6 linked regions of the Xenopus tropicalis genome follow. The protein of the gene in region 6 interacts with the protein of the main gene of each other region in a pairwise test. Links are inferred from orthologs where the notes say so. Each region holds a gene or a part of one and is shown on either strand. Other genes may lie near its edges.

What was found.
Region 1: the proteins of mipol1 (region 6) and enkd1 interact in binary tests that used the Homo sapiens proteins (3 or more experiments, as listed by UniProt). The two-hybrid records come from large-scale screens. The link is inferred for Xenopus tropicalis from reciprocal best matches to the Homo sapiens genes MIPOL1 and ENKD1.
Region 2: the proteins of mipol1 (region 6) and fam161a interact in binary tests that used the Homo sapiens proteins (3 or more experiments, as listed by UniProt). The two-hybrid records come from large-scale screens. The link is inferred for Xenopus tropicalis from reciprocal best matches to the Homo sapiens genes MIPOL1 and FAM161A.
Region 3: the proteins of mipol1 (region 6) and utp25 interact in binary tests that used the Homo sapiens proteins (3 or more experiments, as listed by UniProt). The link is inferred for Xenopus tropicalis from reciprocal best matches to the Homo sapiens genes MIPOL1 and UTP25.
Region 4: the proteins of mipol1 (region 6) and ttc12 interact in binary tests that used the Homo sapiens proteins (3 or more experiments, as listed by UniProt). The two-hybrid records come from large-scale screens. The link is inferred for Xenopus tropicalis from reciprocal best matches to the Homo sapiens genes MIPOL1 and TTC12.
Region 5: the proteins of mipol1 (region 6) and cct3 interact in binary tests that used the Homo sapiens proteins (3 or more experiments, as listed by UniProt). The two-hybrid records come from large-scale screens. The link is inferred for Xenopus tropicalis from reciprocal best matches to the Homo sapiens genes MIPOL1 and CCT3.

The regions. Positions count from the first base shown.
Region 1 is NC_030680.2:41,244,178-41,248,551, reverse strand, and holds the start of enkd1 (enkurin domain-containing protein 1), read right to left. Parts: upstream 2,895-4,374; 5' UTR 2,772-2,894; intron 2,762-2,771; exon of another isoform or gene 2,689-2,761; intron 2,681-2,688; exon of another isoform or gene 2,480-2,680; intron 959-2,479; 5' UTR 938-958; coding exon 853-937; intron 1-852. UniProt on the Homo sapiens protein: Microtubule-binding protein which regulates microtubule organization and stability. Promotes the stability of astral microtubules and facilitates the proper orientation of the mitotic spindle.
Region 2 is NC_030681.2:33,459,618-33,462,666, reverse strand, and holds part of fam161a (protein FAM161A), read right to left. Parts: intron 2,791-3,049; coding exon 2,534-2,790; intron 1,772-2,533; coding exon 596-1,771; intron 1-595. UniProt on the Homo sapiens protein: Involved in ciliogenesis.
Region 3 is NC_030681.2:15,264,899-15,269,113, reverse strand, and holds the start of utp25 (digestive organ expansion factor homolog), read right to left. Parts: upstream 2,805-4,215; 5' UTR 2,781-2,804; coding exon 2,674-2,780; intron 1,398-2,673; coding exon 1,358-1,397; intron 255-1,357; coding exon 1-254. Other genes in the region: tbcc (tubulin-specific chaperone C), read left to right, coding at 2,846-3,985. UniProt on the Homo sapiens protein: Component of the ribosomal small subunit processome for the biogenesis of ribosomes, functions in pre-ribosomal RNA (pre-rRNA) processing. Essential for embryonic development in part through the regulation of p53 pathway.
Region 4 is NC_030683.2:86,554,407-86,558,057, forward strand, and holds part of ttc12 (tetratricopeptide repeat protein 12), read right to left. Parts: intron 1,537-3,651; 5' UTR 1,523-1,536; coding exon 1,471-1,522; intron 115-1,470; coding exon 1-114. UniProt on the Homo sapiens protein: Cytoplasmic protein that plays a role in the proper assembly of dynein arm complexes in motile cilia in both respiratory cells and sperm flagella.
Region 5 is NC_030684.2:142,073,400-142,076,125, forward strand, and holds part of cct3 (T-complex protein 1 subunit gamma), read left to right. Parts: intron 1-514; coding exon 515-632; intron 633-720; coding exon 721-907; intron 908-1,331; coding exon 1,332-1,481; intron 1,482-1,710; coding exon 1,711-1,843; intron 1,844-2,492; coding exon 2,493-2,574; intron 2,575-2,726. UniProt on the Homo sapiens protein: Component of the chaperonin-containing T-complex (TRiC), a molecular chaperone complex that assists the folding of actin, tubulin and other proteins upon ATP hydrolysis.
Region 6 is NC_030684.2:108,906,371-108,910,021, forward strand, and holds part of mipol1 (mirror-image polydactyly gene 1 protein), read left to right. Parts: intron 1-116; coding exon 117-150; intron 151-1,774; coding exon 1,775-1,945; intron 1,946-3,651.

The sequences.
Region 1 (4,374 bases), on a different chromosome or scaffold from region 6:
TAGTACAGGTATGGGACCTGTTATGTAGAATGCTTGGGACCTGGGGTTTTCCGGATAAGGGATCTTTCCATAATTTTTGTCCGCTAAAAATTATTTTAATATTGAATAATCCCAATAGGATTGATTTGCCCCCAATAAGGGGTAATTATATCTTAGCTGGGATCAAGTACAAGGTACTGTTTTATTATTACAGAGAAAAAGGAAATCATTTTTGGGAGATGGCCTTTCTGTAATTCGGAGCTCTCTGGATAACGGGTTTCCGGATAAGGAATCCCATACCTGTATCAGCCCCCTATACACTATGCATACTGGGCATTAGACTAATGGCACCACTGGTATTTGTTGCTTTTACGCTTATATAGTTGTCCCTAAAATCTACTCATATGTTCTAACCGTATATTCCTCATGTTTTAACACTCTAGTCCAGGCTGATTCGTTTATTTGCCCATGTATATCATTTTACAAGACTACATCAATGAATATATTACATAAATAGTTTGGCAGATAATATATCTATGAGGACATACAATATTAAACCTGTTGTATTGGGCCCTAGAACAGAATAATGTAAGCATACGGTAAATATCCATATTACTAAGAAGCAAAAATCATTTAATTTTGTACTAAATTTTGAATTTCTATAAATATTAGCAAATTAAAATGCCATGAACAAGCTAAATGTGAATTTATGTAGATTCTTCAAAAATAGTAAATCTGGAGTCCATTGTTTAATTTTCATATAAACTGTTATGTGGGTATGTGCTTATATTATTTTTTAATTCAAGATTGTTTATGGGAGCTCAAAGGTAAAAGAGACTGAGAGGGGAGTTGTACACCTGAAAAAATTCTTACCAGAAGAAGGGCGTTTGTTCAGGTCTAAAAACTGAGTTGTATGGGGAAGAATTGGCCCAGAAATTTTGGATGCACCTTCTGACATTTTCTTGACTATGCAGAAAGCCTAAAATTGGGGATAAAAACATAATCACTTTCAGTTCAAAACAGAGGGTTCCCTTAAAAGAGAAGGAAAGGTACAATCACTGGGGGGTGCCAAATATTAGCCCCCCCAGAGATTGTAATCACTTGCCTGATACCCTGGGCTGGTGCTCCTGTTAGCAGAAACCTGCACCAGCTCAGGGTACCTGCAAGCGAGTGATCCTCATCTTTCTGTCTTCTTTCTTAGCGATCCTGGGGCCAACGTATACGCAGTAGAGTGAAAAACCCAGCATTTTTTGTCAAAGTTCTGTTTTTCTTTCTTCTGCACATACACATGTGGCCCATAGAAAAAAGAGAATTGCTCACTTGCATGTATCCTGGGCCAGTACAGTTAACTGCTAACAAAAGCACTGGCACGGGGTATCACAGTGATTACAATCACAGGGGGAAATGAAAATTTTGTGACTTTCGGAGCACAAATACTATATTATCGTGACTATTCTGATCGTAAGCATTTTTGTGATATTTGTGATCATCAGAAATTATCGTATAAAATCCGAATTTTACCCATTTCAGGATTCAAACTAGTGATTTGATGAATGTAGCCCTTAGGGTGGTGGCATGGGGTGAAATTTGTCACCTGTGGTTAAATCTGCTCTACTGCGGGCAATGGGTCTCCTGAAAATTACTTGGCATAGTATAAGGTAAGATAAGCGCAAGTAAAATATATTACTTGCAGCTCAATTTAATTGTGGTTTAATTGTGGAAAAATGCCTCCCTTCACATCTTCCCATGATTACGTCAGATCAATGTGAGTAGCATGTTTTACTTGCACCCGTTTTAATGTCATACTATGGCAAAACAAAAACATTTGTTTGTCCTTGTGTGTCCAGTGTATGTCTGAAAAGTAACACAGCCATAAAACTATGCTACCAATATACAAAAACATTGTAAAAAAAAAATCCATTTTTTTTTTAGTATTTACCCCTCAATAAAATATATACATTATTATTAGGGGCTTAATGTAATGCTCAAAATTGCAAACAGTGCGTTTTTGCAGGGGCCATGGCATAACTAACTGTACCAGGGCATAACTAGCTGCACCAGGGCATAACTAGCTGCACCAGGGCATAACTAGCTGTACCAGTGCATAACTAGCTGTACCAGGGCATAACTAACTGTACCAGGGCATAACTAGCTGTACCAGTGCATAACTAGCTGTACCAGGGCATAACTAGCTGCACCAGGGCATAACTAGCTGCACCAGGGCATAACTAGCTGCACCAGGGCATAACTAGCTGTACCAGGGCATAACTAGCTGTACCAGGGCATAACTAGCTGTACCAGTGCTGCTGGTTCGACCCCTGGGGGGGGGGGGAGAAGGCGACACGAATGACGTCACGGCGCAGGGAGAAATTGTCAAAAAAGCTCACATACACTGTTTGTGTTTCGGGGACTGTACATTATGTGAATAATCATACATGAGACATCAGACTGTTCAAAACATAAAACATTTAACAAATAAAATGCCAAAGTGGAACCTTGCCTTCGCGCAACAGACTCGGTAGACCAGCGACTGACGTCATTAGCCCAGTTGGAACGCGCAAAGCCCAGTTAGCCAGGCAGCCGTAACCAAAGTTTATCTGTGTAGTCTTACATATCCCAAAAGCCATGTAGTATGTGGCCAGTTCTTCCATTTAAAAAATCCTCAGCAACCTATAATTCCACGCATAGTCGATTTATTTAGCACCGCACCTGCCCATTTGTTTATAAGTAACGTGCGATGCTAGGCCTCCTTCTTTCTTTTATCGGTATACGGCTTCTCAAAAACACTTTACCTGACGGTCTCTTGAAATACACGACTCCTCTCTTCCATAGCAACAACAGCTTCCGCCTCAGTACTGGTCTCTAAGGGAGATGCTAATCCGGAAAGGAAGTTCTGTCCGCATCCGGCGTTTGGATAAACTCCAGCCTGATATGCATTAGGAGTTTAGATCCTAGCTGGACACAGCTCGTCCGTCGATCATACTTCAAAAGCAAATCAAAGAATATACATTTTATCCCAGCCATTATCCTATTTATAATGCTGTGAATCTTCATGTCACTCTTCTGCAAATTAAATGTCGTTTAACTTTGCTTATTGCACACTAGCACTTTCTATATATATATATATATATATATATATATATATATGTGTCTGTCTATCATCATCTAATATATATATATAATATATATGTGTGTATATATATATATATGTATAGAACATTGTGATGATGTAATGTTATTACCTAGACTGTAAGTGATTAAAAAATAGCAGTTGTGATGCTGTCATCACTAGACTTGAGGTCCCTAGAAAATAGCATATTTTAGCCCATGTTGCATAATTTATATATGCAACTTGTTTTTAGTGACCTAAAGTCCCCTCATAAACATAAGGGGGCTGAAATCTAAAACACAGGCTAAGCCACGGCCTGATTTTTTATTAAGATACTTAGTAGTAGAAGGATAGACCCTCACAGTCAGGCACAGTCACAGCACCACTGGGACTGGAGCGGCACAGTCAGGCAATTGGTGCTGCACAGTCAGACACGGTTACCACAGGCCACATATAACAGCCAGGCAGCCAGATTCGGCCCATGGGCCTTGTGTTTGACACATGTGGTCTAGGTGATCACATGACAGCCCCATGTCATGAGGGAAATAATGATCAAGGCCTGTTTTTTAGGCCTGAATCATACTATCATCATACTAAATGATAACATTAAATAAACTATCAAAAAAGCCTGGAGTGGATCGTTTTCTCCCTCATGACATGGGTTGGTTGACATCTCTGCCTTTGTTCTACTCAGGTGCAGTTTATAAAACATCTACCATTAAACTGCTTCCTGCTCTTATGTACCCCCTGTACTCAGTTCTATTGTTGTACGTCTCCTGACCTTAATACCCTCTGTTATCTGAGCCTTTACCCCTGTCCCCTGCTGTTAATTGTCCTCTACCTCTTGTACCTCCGTCCTCACAGTTATTTGCCCCCTGCTCTTTCCACCTCTCCATTGTCTTATCTGTCCCATGCACTTTCTCTGCCCCCTGCTATCGGCCCTGCCACTTGTTCCCTTTTCTTTCAGTATGTGTGGACTTCTTGCAAAGCTGTCAGCTTTTGCACCCCCCCCCCCCTCGCAGCAGAGCTAAATTAACCCCCAGAGGACACTCCCGTATAACTGAAGCTGCAAGTGAGATGCTCATTCTTCTCCCTGCAGACTGAATCAGGCAAGTTCCTGGGAATGGGGATCAACCAGCACCAATGCACTTGGTGAAAGACATATTAAAGGGGAGCACTATTCAGCTGAATGGGTTACCCTTTGCCTGTATTTATGCTGCTCCTATGAGCATTGCAGTGAATACTAGCATAAGTCATTGTGGTACAAAAATCCTTTGGTTCTCTAC
Region 2 (3,049 bases), on a different chromosome or scaffold from region 6:
CAAAATAGACCCTGGCATTTTAACTCTTATACTACAGTAGATCCTCTTGCTTCGGCATGAAAATATCACTGCACTCACTGCTAATGCCTTAACAACAGAGGATGATGTACAGGTTATGGGTTGTGACACACATCGTTCTCTTCAAGTGAGTTACATACACCAACACTGAGTATAAAGAAATTAAATATGTGCAGTATTGCACTTCAAGACACACAAACAAAAACAGAGGGGGTTCTGTGATCTTCTGACCATCCCGCCCTCGTTTTCAGCACCCACCGCTGCCTAAAAAATGCAAAGCGTTCCTAACAGGACACTCAATAGCTCAAGATTTTGCTGTCATCAATGAGTTGAGCATATAAGCTGGCTATCAACAATGGACTGCCACAGAGTGACATTAGACGAGTACACACAGCATATATTGGTGTTGAAAGTACCTAAAGGCTGCATATTTAATTAGTAGCTTCTACTACAAGAATTAATTGGCTCCAGGCCTGTGCATGCCTAATTGATCCCTTTGACAGCTCCAGATAACCCTTTTCTGTCTTCTAAAAACCTGACTGAAATGAAATTGCACCTATGAACCAATCATGGTTACCTGATTGCATGCTCTCTCCTCTTTGATAACTCAGTTGATCTTGGGATGTTACACAGAGCTTCCCCTTGTGGGTTCAGAGTCCCTGCAGAAGAATGTATTCGGGCCTGGGCCCTAGGAGATTTATATGGCCAACGTGTTTCTTTTAAGTTTTCTTCATCTGCTTGAATGTCCATTATAATTTTCTCTTTATGAGAGGGAATGTTGGAGGTCCGTAGCTGGAAAGGCTCACAGACTGTAACATGTTTTGTAGATGTGCTCTCAGGTAAACGTTTCTGCTGATTTTCATGCATGGTTTGAGAGTGAGGTATGGTCGCACTGATTTTGGGCTTGTGCTTTTGCTTTTCTTTGGGTTTGTAGCATTTTCCTTTCTTAGTGCCTGAGTGAGCGCCAGGAGCAAGAGTGATGGTAGGATATGAGGAATTTTGTAAAAGTTCCTGCGCTCTCATATGTATCCGGATCCCTCGATACAATTCCTCTTCTTTTAGTCGTTCGGCGGTAGAAGTTCCATAAATAGACTTCGGCACTGGCTTGGCTTTAAAATGGTTTGCGCTGGGTACTGATGTTGAAAGGTTCATAAAGTCCAGTCGAAGGGTTTTCTTGCGTTCCTCTCGCTCAATAAACTGGAAAGGTTTCTGAGTGGCCAGTAGAATATCCTTGCTCTTTTCCTTCACAAAACTGCGTCGTTCCTCATTCCTCTCCACTATTTCCTGATAAAGTGGCAGATACACAGAAGATGGAACTGGGTTTGCTCTGAATTTTTTTTGGCATTCTGCCTCTTCTTCCAGCTTTTTCTTCAGCAAATTGTTTTCCAGCTCAATCTCGGACTTTGACTTTATATTCATCTCTTTTTTCTTGGATTCCCGAATTGTCATCTGGAAAGGTTCAGGAATGGTAATTTTGTGAGACCACTCTTTGGACTTTTTGCTAGTTTTATTTTTTGCTATTTCTTTGGAAAAGTATTCAGAATTTCTGATATAATCCTCGACTGTGAATTCATTCCACATGTCAAGAATTTTATTTCTAGCAGATACAGAGTGCTCTGAGTCACTGCTGTCTCCATTGGTCGATTCATGTGAGCTTTCTGATAAGCTGGGAGAGACACTTCCACTCAGGCTGTGCTTCAAATACTTATCATCATATTCAGCTGGAAGCACAGATTTAGGTTCCCATGCTGATCTAAAATGTAAGAAATGGAAAGATATAGTCTTCAATGCTACATTGAGAGCAGTGACAAAGCATAGCAAGTGCTAAATCAAGAAGAAATATTAAATTTTACAACTGGCCCTAGGGTTGAATCCGACCCTCCAAACTCTATTATTGCCCTCATGCTGTCCAATAGTTCAACAGACCTTTATGTGGGACTTTATGCAGGATACAAGGATCATACACGTGGAACTGAAAGGTGAATGACTAATAGATGGAAAAAAATACAACTATATTTTTCAGTATTAACTGACTGTAAGAGCTGATGCTTTGCCTACTAAACCAGCACTTTTTGAGTTTCTTCATGCAGTGGGGCAACATCATCAACAAATTGTATTAAATTTATAAAATCATATTAGTAAGGCAATGGACCCCTGTCAAGCACCATCCCAAAAAATAATTTGAAAGGCCTCATGTGATTCATGAACCTCTACTATATAATGCAGACAGGGTCAAAAAGGGCTGGCAGGAATTAAAAGCACCTGAGCACATACCAATACTATTAGCTGCTTAATACTAAATACTTGGTGTTCTTCTATAAGGCAAGGTCACACAGGGAAAATTATCACTGCTGCTTGTACTGTAAAATTGCCAACCACCTAGCCACTGACATCAATAGAAAGAAGGGCTGCATGGTCAGTAATGGTGGATCCAATGTGAGTAGAAAGAACTATGACAAACTACAAGCAGTGACAATCAAAACACTCTAGGTGACAACAGACAATAGCTGCTTACCTGTAGACTTCCCTGACAACTCCCTGTTCATTCTCTGGGTTGTGAACCCCACTCAGATGTAATTTTTTATCATACATTTTCTCCAGTTGTTCCATATTCTGCAGATGAGCTTTTTTTAGCTTCTCTACCTGAACATAATAGTCTTTGTCTGGATGATGAACTTTGGAAATGTCAAAAACCCAGTCTTGACATCTGCGGGACTTGCAGCACCTGGCTTCTTCCCAGTCTAAAGCAGCAGCAGGAGCAGCAGGAGTACCCTAACAAAGGACAAGAAAGTGTTCAGAGTAAATGTAAGCACCTCTGTGTGCAAAAAACATAAGTAATAAAACTACTTATTATTCCATGTATCCTTTAGTTATTCATTTGAAAAATAAAGCCTGGGTAGTGTTTACCCTTGAACAACTGCAATGTTTTTCACTGGATATAACATTAGGAAACCTTTGCCGGTATAGTTGTATCTCTATTGGGGCTGTCTCTGCCCATGGGAAGCCACTGCAACAAAGACCAATTGACAAG
Region 3 (4,215 bases), on a different chromosome or scaffold from region 6:
ATTTGCCCGTGGCCTTCCCCGTCACTCTCATCTTCATTATCCTCATCCTCTGCTTCCGATTCCTCACCCACCTCTTCTGCCTCATCTTCCTCTTCTGCTTCTTCTAGGGCTTCTTCTTCCTCATCATCACTTTCTTCTTCCTCTTCATCAGACACAGTATTCAAGGTGGCGAGCAGCTTGTGGTACATGTTAACCGGCTCGGGATCACTCTCTGCCTCGCTCTCACTTCGGGATTCATCCTCCGAACTCTCAGGCTAAAATACAGACAAGTCAGACTTATAGTAACTAGAAATATCAGCAACGCATTTGTATTTTATATAAAAGCAATGTACAGGTTTCTGTTATCTAGAATGTATTCCTGGGCTTTCTGGATAAGGGATCTTTCTGTAATTTGGATCTGCATGCCTTAAAGAGGTGGTTCACCTTTAAGCTAACTTTTAGTACGTTATAGAATAGCCTATTCCAACAACTTTTCAATTGGTCTTCATTATTTATTTTTATAGTTGTTTTAATTATTTGCCATCTTGTCCCAACTCTTTTCAGCTTTCAAATGGGGGTCACTGACCTCAGCTCAAAAAAAAACTATTACTCTGTGAGGCTACAGTGTTATTTTTACTTTTTGTAACTTTCTTTTCTATTCAGCCCCTCTCCTATTCATATACCAGTCTCTCATCCAAACCACTCCCTGGTTGCTATGGTAATCTGGACCCAGCAACCAAATAACTGCTGAAACTCCAGACTGGAGAGCTCTTGAACTGAAAATGAAGTAACTAAAAAAGCTACAAATAAAAAATGAAGACCAACTGCAAATTGTCTCAGAATATCACTCTCATACATAATACTAAAAGTTAACTCAAAGGTGAACAACCCCTTTCAGTCTACTAAAAAATCATTTAAACATGAAATAAACCCAACAGAATTTATTTGCCCCCAATAAGGATTAATTATTTCTTAGTTGGGATCATGTGCAGAGAATAAGAGAAAGATGGCCTTCCCTTAATCTGAAGCTTTCTGAATAACAGGTTTCCGGATAACGGATCCCATACCTGCACTAACATGGCTGGGTAGTAACATGAAAGATCACACACATACTCCCTTATGCCTTCACATAGATATTACAGTTCTACACCCATAATTAGTTGAAATATAAAGCTAAGGGGAAGTAAAGCCACAAACTATAATTCTGTATCTGTCCATAAAGTAGGTTTAAAGTGTTTTAACGTAAATTGAAATTTCCACCCATCTCTTCCATTGTGATTTATGTTTAAAGAAGGTTTTAAATAGACATTTGCAGTATATATTGGCAACAGCTACATTCTTGTTTAAACTGGAAGGCTCAGGCATTACAGTCACTCACCAGTTGAACCACCTGGGTTGTTTCTTGTTTCTTGGAGACTCTGCAAAGAGAAAAGGGATCAGATTTACAATGTTTAATAACAAGCTGGTGGGCCCACCAAGACATACAATCAGTAGTCTGTACCAACCCCCTGAACCTCAAAGTACCTACTAACCTAGCTGTTTAAAGGGGAACTCCACCCAAAAAATATGCAGCCTTTTCTTGATTTTTAATGTTATAATATGGTTTGGAACAGTTCCCTAAGCCCCGCCCCCTGTTCCCCTGCTGATTCGGCTGGCTACTTGGAGACTCAAATAAAATGTCCTCAGCCTGCCTTCAGCCTGCATCCTCCCAATCCCACAATTCCCTGCACACTGATGTCAATAAGGAAAGGAACATCACAGTACAATGCATTGTGGGTTATGTAGTTCCTGCATGCTGTCTGTATGCTGTCTGTAAGCTGTGGAGAAGTTGTTACAATTTGTAACATCAGTGTTTTACTCGGTTTTATGTTCCTGCAGGGTAACACTTACTATATATATATATCTTCTACTCATGTCCCCTTTAGGGCCTCTAATGTGGCCCCTGACTATCCATAAGGCATTATACATTATGTTGATAATACTGCAAAATACCACTCAGTGCAATTATTATTATTATTATTATTATTAACATTTATTTATAAAGCGCCAACATATCCCGCAGCGCTGTACAATAAGTGGGTTACATACATTGGACATACAGAGTAACATATAAAGCAATCAATAACCGATACAAGAGGGGAAGAGAGCCCTGCCCAAAAGAGCTTACACTCTACATCCAATATATTAACTAAAGGCACAACATTGTCTCTACTCTTCTTGCTCTTACACCTGTATGTGCCCCCAACATTCCCCTTGATATCGGGACATTTGGGAACAGGATAAGTAACATGAGTATAGTTACCGGGACACCGGGACACTCTGGGCTGATTCTCCATTTCCAGATTCTGCCCAATATTTATATTCACCTTCCCAGCTACCCCTCCTCTATCTGAACATGTCATTGATCCCTTTGTCCCCTCCCCAAGGCAATAACAGTAACTCTGGCCTATAATGTTATGTATCATTGCTGTTCCATGTGCGCCCCCAAGTGGTTACTCAGGGCAGGGCAGGGGGGGGCACTACTATGTGTCCCCCCTTTTACTTTATTTTCCTGACACTCAAGCTGCTATTTTAACTCTTGCATTGGCCATGGTGTGTTTGCCTGGGAAATGTCAGACTCTAAGAGAGAAGGTTTGAGTCCCCGCCATCCCATCCCATCCCCATACCCGGACGATATGCTCCGAGGCTACTCACGCATCATAGAAGGGGTGCTGCTCCCCAAATTCCTTCAGGTGCTTCTTCTGTTTCTTGCTCAGGGCGCTGCCAGCCTCCTCCCTCCGCGGCTTCCTCCGCTTCCCCATCTCTGCACTCTAACCACGTGTGCGCCTCCCTCTCCGATTGGCTTCCGGGTTCTGTCGCATAGTTGATGACGTTGACCAATAATCACAGAGAGGGGCGGTACTTTTACGCCTGGTTTTACCTCATGACGCAAACATCAGCCGACTGCGAGGTACCGGCTCCCAGAAGGCAGTGCGCCGCAGACAGCGCCATGGAGCCGGAGATGCAGCCGGAGTTAGAGGGAGAGTCGCTGGCCCAGCGGGGGCGCCTCCCTGAGCGGTTACAGAGGCGGGACGAGGAGCGGCAGCGGGAGGCGGACAGGAAGCGGCAGGAGAAGGAGGGCCGCGCTGTGCTGGAGGAGAGGAGCGCCCATTTTATCGCCTCTTTCGGCTCTGACAGGGCGGGGATCGAGGAGCTGTTGGGCAGCGAGGAGTCGGGGGCCCTGGGGGAGGCTGCGGCTCGGTTGCAGCGATTGCAGAAGCTTCTGAATGACAGCCTCATGTTCCTCCCGCCCTATGATATCCGCCAGGCCCAGGACTCACTGGCCCGAATGCAGGGGGCTCTGGGGGCCAAACGCCAAGCTCTGCAGCCCCGGGGCAAGTTTGCCTTCAAATCCCGCAGGAAAGAGGCGGCCCCTGCAAGTAATACCACCCCTGCGGGGAATCCCACCCCTGCAAGTAATCCCACCCCTGCGGAACCTCAGGCCAAACCCAAAGCGGCGGAGCCCCAGGCCCTGTGTGGGCTGCGCGGACTCTCAGGCCAGGCCCTGTGTATGGAGGCAGCTGAGATCCAGAGGAGAGATGTTGCGCTGAGCCAATTGCAAGACTGCACCGTCACCCTGAGGGGCTCCCCCGCCACCCTGCATATCCGGGGCCTGCGGGGCTGTAAGGTGCTGTGTGGCCCCGTCTGCACCTCGGTGTTTGTGGACGACTGTCGCGACTGCCTGTTTGCCTTTCCCTGCCAACAACTGCGCACTCACAGCACCGAGCGCTGTCGCTTCTACATTCACGTCACCAGCAGGGCCATCATCGAGGACTGCGCCCAACTGCACTTTGCCCCCTTCACCTGGTCCTACGAGGGGATCCTGGGCGACTACGAGGCGTCCGGCCTAGACAGGGCCAATAATAATTGGAACCAAGTAGATGATTTCAACTGGCTGGCCAGGGATGTCCCATCTCCAAACTGGGGTGTCCTTCCAGAGGAGGAAAGAGTCACCGACTGGGCCTGATGCTCTGGGGACATTGGGCGGCCAAGGAGGATTGGCACAAGTTCAGGTGGAAGCTGGACATTGCTTGGAAGACCCAAGAGGAAAGGATAAAGCATGAGCGCTACATTGCCTAAAGGGATTTATATTGGAACTCGCATTCCTGGCTTCTAAACAGTTGGAGCCTTTTGCCTCAACCCTTATTTGCTGGCCGTACAGACATGGTGCGGGCCTACAGGTGTTTGGGCAGAGTG
Region 4 (3,651 bases), on a different chromosome or scaffold from region 6:
TGATTCCATCATCATTGTCTTTGTTCTTCAACAGAGCAAGCCTTTTGTCTGCTTTTAAGAAAGCCTCTTGTCGATGTGACTCATCTGAGGAGTTTAAATCTTGTATGATATCAGCTGTGAAAGAACAATATAGTTAAAACTTGCTGGCTTTGCTTGCTCATTTTTCTACATCGCATTATTCATACATGACATCTTACTGTCTAGGCCAATATGAATTATGAACAATCTTTGTAAACTGTGCATATGTTTGGCACTATATATATATACTATATATACTATAATATATATACAGGTATAGGACCCATTATCCAGAATGCTCGGGACCAAGGGTATTCCGGATAAGGGGTCTTTCCGTAATTTGGATCTCAATACCTTAAGTCTACTAAAAAATCAATAAAACATTCATTAAACCCAATAGGATTGTTTTGCATCCAATAAGGATTAATTATATCTTAGTTGGAATCAATTACAAGGTTCTGTTTTATTTCTACAGAGAAAAAGGAAATCAGTTTTAAAATTCTGAATTATTTGATTAAAATGGAGTCTATGGGAGACGGGCATTCCGTAATTCGGAGCTTTCTGGATAACGGGTTTCCGGATAAGGGGTCCGATACCTGTACTAAAGGATATTAATAATATTTTACAAGAGTAAGTATAAAGTCAATTTAAGACCATTTGGATATCAATATATATACCGAAACAACACACCTAGACAGAATTATGTATACAGGTATAGGACCTATTATCCAGAATGCTCGGGACCAAGGGTATTCCGGATAAGGGGTCTTTCCGTAATTTGGATCTTCATACCTTAAGTCTACTAAAAAATCAATAAAACATTAATTAAACCCAACAGGATTGTTTTGCATCCAATAAGGATTAATTATATCTTAATTGGGATCAATTACAAGGTACTGTTTTCTTACTACAGAGAAAAAGGAAATCAGTTTTAAAATTCTGAATTATTTGATTAAAATGGAGTCTATGGGAGATGGGCTTTCCGTAATTCGGAGCTTTCTGGATATCGGGTTTCAGGATAAGGGGTCCGATACCTGTATAACAATTAAGTAATTATATTAAACATATAATGAGCTATTTATATTATAATAACCTTTTGTATGTATTTAAACTTTAATGACACCAGATAAAGGAGCCATAGCCTCAATTACATGAGAAATTAATGGCCAACCTCCTTTAAAATCATTTCAAACTTTTATCATACAAATGCTGCCTTTTTAATTAAAGGATCTTACAAGACATCATGGGTAAAAACCCACGAGCACATGCTCAAACACAGACTGCAAATAATTAGAACAATATTCTGAAGGTTGTGACTCCAGCAGCAATAACAGTTGCATGCTTACATGACTGGCATGTAGATTTAATGGTGTTATTCATTTATATAATTCATAAGCGTTTTTTCTAAATTCTGTTGGCTCCACCTTTATTATAATTTGTTCAGGAACTTACTGATTTCGTCAATGTTTTTTAGGAAACTCTCCAAGTTATCCTTTGTAGGCATGGTGGGAAAAAATCCTATGAAAAATGATAAAAAAAACTATTGTTATCATAGCAAGTAATAATTATACTATATTATTGTTTGCATTGTCACTAAAGCCATGTATGATCAATACATTTTAAAACAGTTTCAATTCTCTATAGATGTGCTTGTGTAATTAAAGATTTTGGTTTAAATTAAATTTTTTGTTATCAAACAATTTGTGTCTTTTTAATCACTCAGATCAATTACTGCAATTATGTATGGACATGTATTGTGTATAATGTACATGTGTATTTTATGCTATAAGGTTTATAAGCAGCTCATCATTATATTGAACTGGATATGGCCAGATATGGTCCTTCGAGAGTCTTTTATGGCCCCCAACATGCCTTGGCTCTCCACTGATCTCTTTGGATGACACCATTATTTTATTTTTATGCAGTGTGCATGCAGCCTGAAGTTTTATGCCTTCCTTGCTGCCAATTATGCCTGCAGGATTTATGGTCAGCTCTGGTAGAAGATTATCTATTGGCACAGAAATGGCTGAGGTTGCTTCCAAATAGAATTCAAACTGCCAGCAAAGGACAGCTGTTAATTAATAGTGATTTGTGATGGTGTATATAAAGTGTGCCAAGATAGTAATAAAGATGTAAACAAGCGTAATTGCAGATTAAAACGAAACTTCAGGGATCTAGATAAACCATTTTTAAGCTGTTCCAAATGCGAATATACATTTTGACTTTATATTGCTAGCACACTAGTTTCCTCTGTACCTGCCATACACGTTGCTACTCTATTTTAACTTCTGCTTTTGCCCAATTTCCATACAATTTTACTTGATGTCATTACTGATCATTGAACGCTAGCCTCCCATTATCCTGCTCCTAGTGCAGTTAAAGGAGAAAAATCCAAATACCTTATTAATAATATTAGCCTACCCCATGTGTGGTTTTGACATAAATTCTTGGCTATAAAACAGTATTACATGCAAGGTATCTATTAACCAGAAACCAGTTATAAAGGTAAAGTATGCCAATAGTATTTTACAAAATGTCCTATGAAACAATTCTTTGTTTTTGACATATTGATAGCAAAATAATCTTATTGGGTGGGGGGTTCCCATGCAAGACCTATCCTCTTCCTCCTCTCGTCTTTCTTCTTGAATGGGGCCCTTGCATGAGCAGTCCAGTTTTTTTATCGTTAATGTTTTCACTGTACTGCTCATGTGCAAGTGGTGCAAAGACAGAAGAAGGAAGGGGATCACTTGCTTGCAGGTACCCCATGCTGGTGGAGGTTTCTGCCAACAGTAGCACTAACAGGTAAGTGATTACAATCATTGGGGGGTGCATTACAGGGGTTGTTACCTCAGGTGATACAACAGTTTGGTGCTTTGGTAGATCGAGGTCCAACAAGACTTTGGGCCTGGTTTGCTCATAACTGAGTATTATATAGCCGATCAATAAGACAATTCTTAAATATATTGTCTGACACTATTACTGTATAACTGCATGGACTACTCTGAGCAGTGACTGAGTGCTGGTAGCCTTTTACTAGGCCCTCGGTAGTTACTTGCGGTTACTGTTTGCAGACAGGTCTGCTGTACTGTAGCCCCCCTCACTAAGTCCATTAAAGTTTGCCACCCACCACAAGGAAGTAATCAAAGGGAGGGTGCATGCAATACCCCCTTGAAGATATTTTGCTCGGAGGCCAAGTCATCTGAAGTTCTGCCATTTTTTGTGGGAATAATAACACAAACTAACAACATTGAAAAAATTTGGCACAAACCAGCTATATTAATTAATGAACCCCCAAAAAACTGTGCTACATCCTTGGGCAGTTATGCTTGAAACACTGCTTGGATTTTCTCTGATGACTTGTGTAAGCCACTGGCATCTAAAACATGTTCACAATATTGCATAGAGTTCTTTAAGAAGGCACATTTTCCTTTGTTATGTCATAGCCCAAATTCTTCTAGCTGTGTCAGAATCCTCTTTATGTGTCCAAATGTTCTGCATGGAGAGATATCAAATAGATACTATAGGGAACACCTCCCACCTATAGAATCATTTACCCGATGCCCTGAAGTAAATTGCAGAAAGTGTGCAGGATCAAAGTCAATATAGAGATTTATACTAGTGGGGAAGACCCCA
Region 5 (2,726 bases), about 33 Mb from region 6:
TCTTGGGGGGTTGGTTAGGGGGCTGGGCGCAGGCATGGTAGCTGGGGGTTGGTTAGGGGACTGGGCACTGGCATGGTATCTTAGGGGGTTGGTTAGGGGGATGGGCACTGGCATGGTATCTTAGGGGGTTGGTTAGGGAGCTGGGCACCGGCATGGTAGCTGGGGGTTGGTTAGGGGGCTGGGCACCGGCATGGTAGCTGGGGGTTGGTTAGGGGGCTGGGCACCGGCATGGTAGCTGGGGGTTGGTTAGGGGGCTGGGCACTGGCACGGTATCTTAGGGGGTTGGTTAGGGGGCTGGGCACTGGCACGGTAGCTGGGGGTGGGTTAGGGGGCTGGGCACTGGCGCGGTAGCTGGGGGTGGGCTGGGCGCTGGCACGGTAGCTGGGGGTGGGTTAGGGGGCTGGGCGCTGGCGCGGTAGCTGGGGGTGGGTTAGGGGGCTGGGCACTGGCGCGGTAGCTGGGGGTGGGCTGGGCGCTGGCGCGGTGTATCTAACACATTACGCCTATATCACAGCTGGAGAGATGTTGTCGGTTGCGGAACAGTTCTTGGAGCAGCAGATGCACCCTACTGTGGTTATCAGCGCCTATCGGAAAGCCCTGGACGACATGGTCAGCACCCTGAAGGAGATCAGGTAGGGCGCGGGGATCCTGTTGTGCCTGGGGGAACGAGAATTTAGTGTGTTTGTGCCGTTACACCTCCCGTCTCTGTCCCCCCCCCAGCACCCCAGTCGATACAAATGACCGCGAGCTGATGCTGAAGATCATTAACAGTGCGGTCAATACCAAGGCGATCAAGCGCTGGGCGGATATGGCCTGTGGCATCGCTCTGGACGCCGTAAAAACCGTCGAATTGGAGGAGAACGGCCGAAAGGAGATCGACATCAAGAAATACGCCAAAGTGGAGAAGGTGAGACGCCATTGTGTGCCGGGGAATTCCCCTCCCCCAGGTACAGAATATTTAGGTTTTATAGCTCGGGGGGGGGGGGGGGGGGGGGAATATTAAAGTGGTACTACACTTTGAATTCCCACAGTATGGTGTAGGCAGACTGTTTGCAATTGGTCTTTTTTTTTTTTTTGTTTTTGTTCTGCAGCTTTCCAGTTAGGCAATTTTTAGTTATCTTGTTGCTAGGGTTCAGTTTACCCTAGAAACTTAGCAATGGTTTGAATGAGAGATGGGAAGATGAATAAGAGCTACTGAATTAAAAGCTACACAGCAGTAGGGTTTGTTGTTTTGTTGCCAGGGTCGGTGACCCCCATTTGAAAAGCTGGAAAGAAAAAGCAGAATTTAACATTGACTTGCCCCTAAGTGTTTCCTTTCTCCCCACTATTAGATTCCCGGGGGGATTATTGAAGACTCCTGTGTTCTACGGGGCGTCATGGTCAACAAGGACGTCACTCACCCCAAGATGCGGCGCTTGATCAAGAACCCTCGTATCGTTCTCCTGGATTGCTCCTTGGAGTACAAGAAGGGGGAGAGCCAGGTATGCAGAGAGATTCCCGGTGGGGGGGCCCCTGAATCCCCCCCAGTCCGACCCCGCTGACGGCTTATATACAGCAGGGGGTTCTGTTATGACTGGAGCCCCTAGCAACGTAACACACAGGCTCCTCCTACACAGGTTCTGTGCCCCATAGATACCCCGTGCCCCATATGGTTCTTCTCGCCCACCTCGTATGGCGCTTTATCCCCACAATAACATTCCCCCCCCACAGACAGAGATTGAGATCACGCGCGAGGAGGACTTCGCCCGCATTCTGCAGATGGAGGAGGAGTACATCCAGCAGGTCTGCGAGGACATCATCCGACTCAAGCCCGACGTTGTCATCACTGAGAAGGGCATCTCCGGTAATGATCTGTCACCTAGGAACTCTGGGGGGGGGTAGGAGTGCAAGCTTATGGGCCACATACCCCCCAGCTGTGGGGGTCCAAGGGCTGCCTCCCAAAAACTGCCACCCTAGGCACCGGCACCCAGTTACCTATGTATAAATACCCCCTAGCCACAGGCCCTGTGTCCATGGCACCCTGCAGCAGCCCCTGGGGCCATATTTATGCACCCCTAGGGGTATATTTATCATGTGGAGTTAAACATTACCAATGATGTTGCTCGTAGCAACCAATCAGATGCTTTGGTTTTCTAATTGTTGAAATCTAATTTGCTTCCTCTGGGCAACATCACTGGTAATGTTTCACTCCACTTATTACTAGGGATGCACCGAACCCACTTTTTGGGGGTTCGGCCGAAGGGTTAAAAGTTGTCACGCGCTCTGCACGCTGCAACAAAAAATTTTCCCAGTACCATTTAACCCTTTCTGAATGCTATTTATGATTCGGTTCGGCCGGAACCATCGCTTCGGCCGAAACCAAATCCATAAAAAAAAAATAAAGCCGGATTCGGCCCTACTTTTTACACAGCATGATAAATATACCCCCTAAATACCCCCATGGGGCAAGAGACTCCGCCTTCCCTATTTCTAATGCAATTTGTTTATTCCAGATCTGGCTCAGCATTACCTGGTGAAGGCCAACATCACGGCCATACGCAGAGTCCGCAAAACTGACAACAACAGAATAGCAAGGTGAGACCCCCCCTCATACAGAAATCCTGCTTCTATACCGACGGGGGGCCCCAGTTAGGTGGGATTTGGAGAACACCAGTGACCCTTATCCATTGGGGCCTTCAGGGAAGTAATGAGGTTTGGGGGGGCTCAGTCAGCCCTGGCAATGGGGC
Region 6 (3,651 bases):
GATTTGGAAAGAGAATTCATTTTGCTTCTGAATGAAGAAGCACTTAGCACTCCACTAGTGATTTATCCACTCCCTTAACTCGCTCGCTCACTTTCTCTCACTACTTTCCTTCCTAGGCTGGAAGATCTAAACCCTGAAGAAACCGACATGGTAAGCTTCCTTCCAAGGAAACATTTCCTCAATGGCTTTTTTAAAAAACTATTTTATTACATTTTTCATTATACGGGCATGGCTTGCACTTCCTGAGCAATGTATCAGATTGTACAAAATAAAGAGCACATCCCTATTAAACACATTTGTCCTTTATTTAAAAAGATTTATTTGAAATAATTGCTTTTAGACTGCAAAACCTTGTGAGCAGGATCATCCTGTTTTATCCTTGTTTTTCATGTGATACTCACCCCTCTTTGTTGTATTATTATTGCAAAGTGGCACTATATACAGAAAATGAAGTCTGATAGCTTTCCAAAATAGTTGCATTGTGTTATTATAAGGTGGGGTTAAAGAGAAAAAAGTTCATGTATAAGGGGTAGGGCCAAATCATTCCTCTCTCTTCCCTCTTGACTGGAGTCTGGAAGCAGTGAGCTGCTGTAAAAGCAGTGTGCTATTTTGGGTACTAGAAGATATATGTTAAAAAGTGGTCGTTAAAACTTTTTAATCATAGCGCAATTTTAATTGGTTATAGCCTGTGTTAAAAACAGGGATGCATATTGGACAGCAAAGCACACAAAGAACACCATTCATTTCAGTGGCCAGATACTTCACTAGTGTCTGTTCCAACAGAAGGATTTCGGTTCTGTTTTCATACATTAACATTTTAAAGCTGCTTTGAGGGGTTTTCTCTGCCTTGCTAAGTGTTCTTAGTCACTTGTCCAGTCCTGCTCATGTTACAAAATCTTGCAGTGAAGATCTTGAACCACTGTGGGGCTAATGTGGTCAGCAGCTTATTAGCACGCGTATGAGGCCCACTGACCTGCATGCCCAGCCAATATCTGGCAGGTTTGAAAAACCCATCAGTAGAGGACCACTTTGGTGTGTTGATGCAGTCCTCATCCAACAGGGCTTCTTAGGCCCTCTGTACTATCCAATCATTGGCCCAGGCTCGACTTGGCCCAGTGCTTTGGTGCCCAAATTGGGCCAATATCCCCTCATTTGGAGGATCTTATTTTGTGCATCCACCTTAAGTCTGACTGCCCTTTCCTGTTCAGCCACAACATATATATATATATAAATTTTTATTTTTTTTTTTATGCATTTTAAATGTATCTTCCACATAATATACTTTAGAGTGTTTTATAAATTGTACACACACATATGTACTGTTAATACCAGTTGCTCTGGTCCACGGGTGCTACATTAAAAAATGTAGCACTATTTCTAAATATGCATATCGTTTATTTCCTGTCTACCTTCCATTTGATTTCCCTGAAATAGACATTGTGAGGATAGCTTATTGTGGGCACCTTTACTCATGCACACACAAATATACACAATTGAGTTCTTTCTGCCATAGAAATTGCCTAATCTGCCCACTAGATGGCAATGTTGTTCTGAAGTCTATGGAGAATGATTCAGTTGAGACAAGCAATGAGGCAGCACACACTTTTTTAAATATATATTTAGATACTTAGATTAATATTTTGTCTTAAATTATAGCTTGATTATTCTAAGTACTATAAATGATTTAAATGTAAGTTAATTAGGTTTTTTCCAAAAGCTTTTCTGCAGGTTATCCCACGTCCAGTCACTCAATTTCATTTTGTATGGCCTACAGACACTGCAGCAGCTATTGGCCCAGTTGGGAGAAGCAGAAGGGGGTGCTGCCATTCAGGAAAATGGAGCACTAATATTAGAGCGGATTCGACAAAGTCAAGAGAGAAGAGAACATATCACAGCTGAAGAAATGGGAGCCGTCATCCAGGAAAGGGATGCTGCTCGTGCTAAGGTGAGGAACCAGACATAAATATATGGGGGAGTTATATCCACAAGTGCAGTCACCATGTTTTTTTCCCCTGAATTCTAATGCCATTGTAGTTGAACAAAGGTGGTGCTCTTAAGGCAATTGTGTGTGCTGCTTACTTTTACGTGATTGCTGATAATTAATACATCTTAATACACTTCTTTTTGGTGTATTTGTTTTTTTTTTTTTGTTTTTTTTTCAAAGTATGATAAATAGGCCCCTACATACACTAAAGGTTAGGCCAAACCCCACTGAGAAAGCATATATGCCCTGATGGGCAGTTAGCATGGTGGAAATAAAGCCAACTTTCTGACCATAGCACTGCACATATTGACTTGTGTAGACAGCCATACAGTCAATTGTCTTTTTGGGTACATGAGCAATTTTTCATTTCATGGTAGTAGGGAGGCTTTATAGCATGCAAACATGCTGAGAATTTAATCAAGCAGTTAGGCACATGAGGGAGAGAGGGAAGATTCAACAGGCTGTTCCTCAGTCCTACTGGATTATGGTCAGTCCAAACTAAACTTTTATTTGGAAATGCCCCACGTTTAGGGTTGCCATCTGACTGGTAAAAATGATGCTTGATGCCAATGTTATTAATAGCGAAAAAAGGCAAAAATATAAGAAGGCTGGTATTTTTATCCAAAAAAGGTGGCAACCCTAACCCACATTCAACTTACTTTCCTAAAGATCCACATGTTTGGGTTCTCAGCCCAAATGAATGGGAAAGGTCAGCCTGTGTATGGGCACCTGTAAACTGTGTATGAACAAGCTAGGAACACAATAGGGGTAGGTAATAAAAGGCATTAAATTTGCCAAGGAGCAGTAACTCATAGCAACCAATCAGCAGGTAGAATTTACTAGTCAGCTGTTTAAAGGCAAACACCTTATTGGTTGTTATGGGTTATTGTTACTGGGTAACTTAATGCCTTTTATTACATATGGGGGTATGTATTTATTTCAGGGGTAGATTAATGAAAGATTGAAAGGGGAATGCAGAAAGATTTCTGGCAGTTCACTGTTTTTAGGTTTTATCCAAATAATTTTTTTTAAAGAACTGAGCATTTATTAAATCTGAAAGGTGTCGGATTGAATGTTTTTGACTTCTTTGAGAATGTTCACTTCCTATGATGTAGGCAGCAGTGCTAAACATTGATATCCATTCAATTCATTTATCACTGGTGCAATATGAATGATTTAAACATTTATTTTCCAGCAGGGACAGGAAATTGTAAAATAGCAAATGACTGGTAATGTGTTGCTGAGAGGTAACTATCTTCACTGTCTGGTAAAATTACAATTTGCTAATCTGCTAAATTGCCCCAGTGTATTAATTTCTGTTTATTTTGTAATTCCTGGTTTTGTTAAAGTTTGTTTTTCATGACACATTTTTATATTAGGCCCCAAACTATAAAAGTCATTTGTAAATCCATAGGTAAATAAGAGGTTAAAAGAATGTCTTTTGGGCCAGTCTCCCAAAATATCTCGTATTCCTGTGCTGTTGAATGCGCTGGGGCTCACAGTGCCTCGTTGCTTTCTCAGGCTGCAGATGCTTTTGCAGGTACAAAGCAACCTTAGAATTTGTAGTCAAAGGTTGCCAGCTAGCAGCTAACTGATTTCCCTTCCTAACGCAGTATAAACATTCACTTGTCTTCCTGTAAACCCTGCCAAATTCCATAATTCCAGTA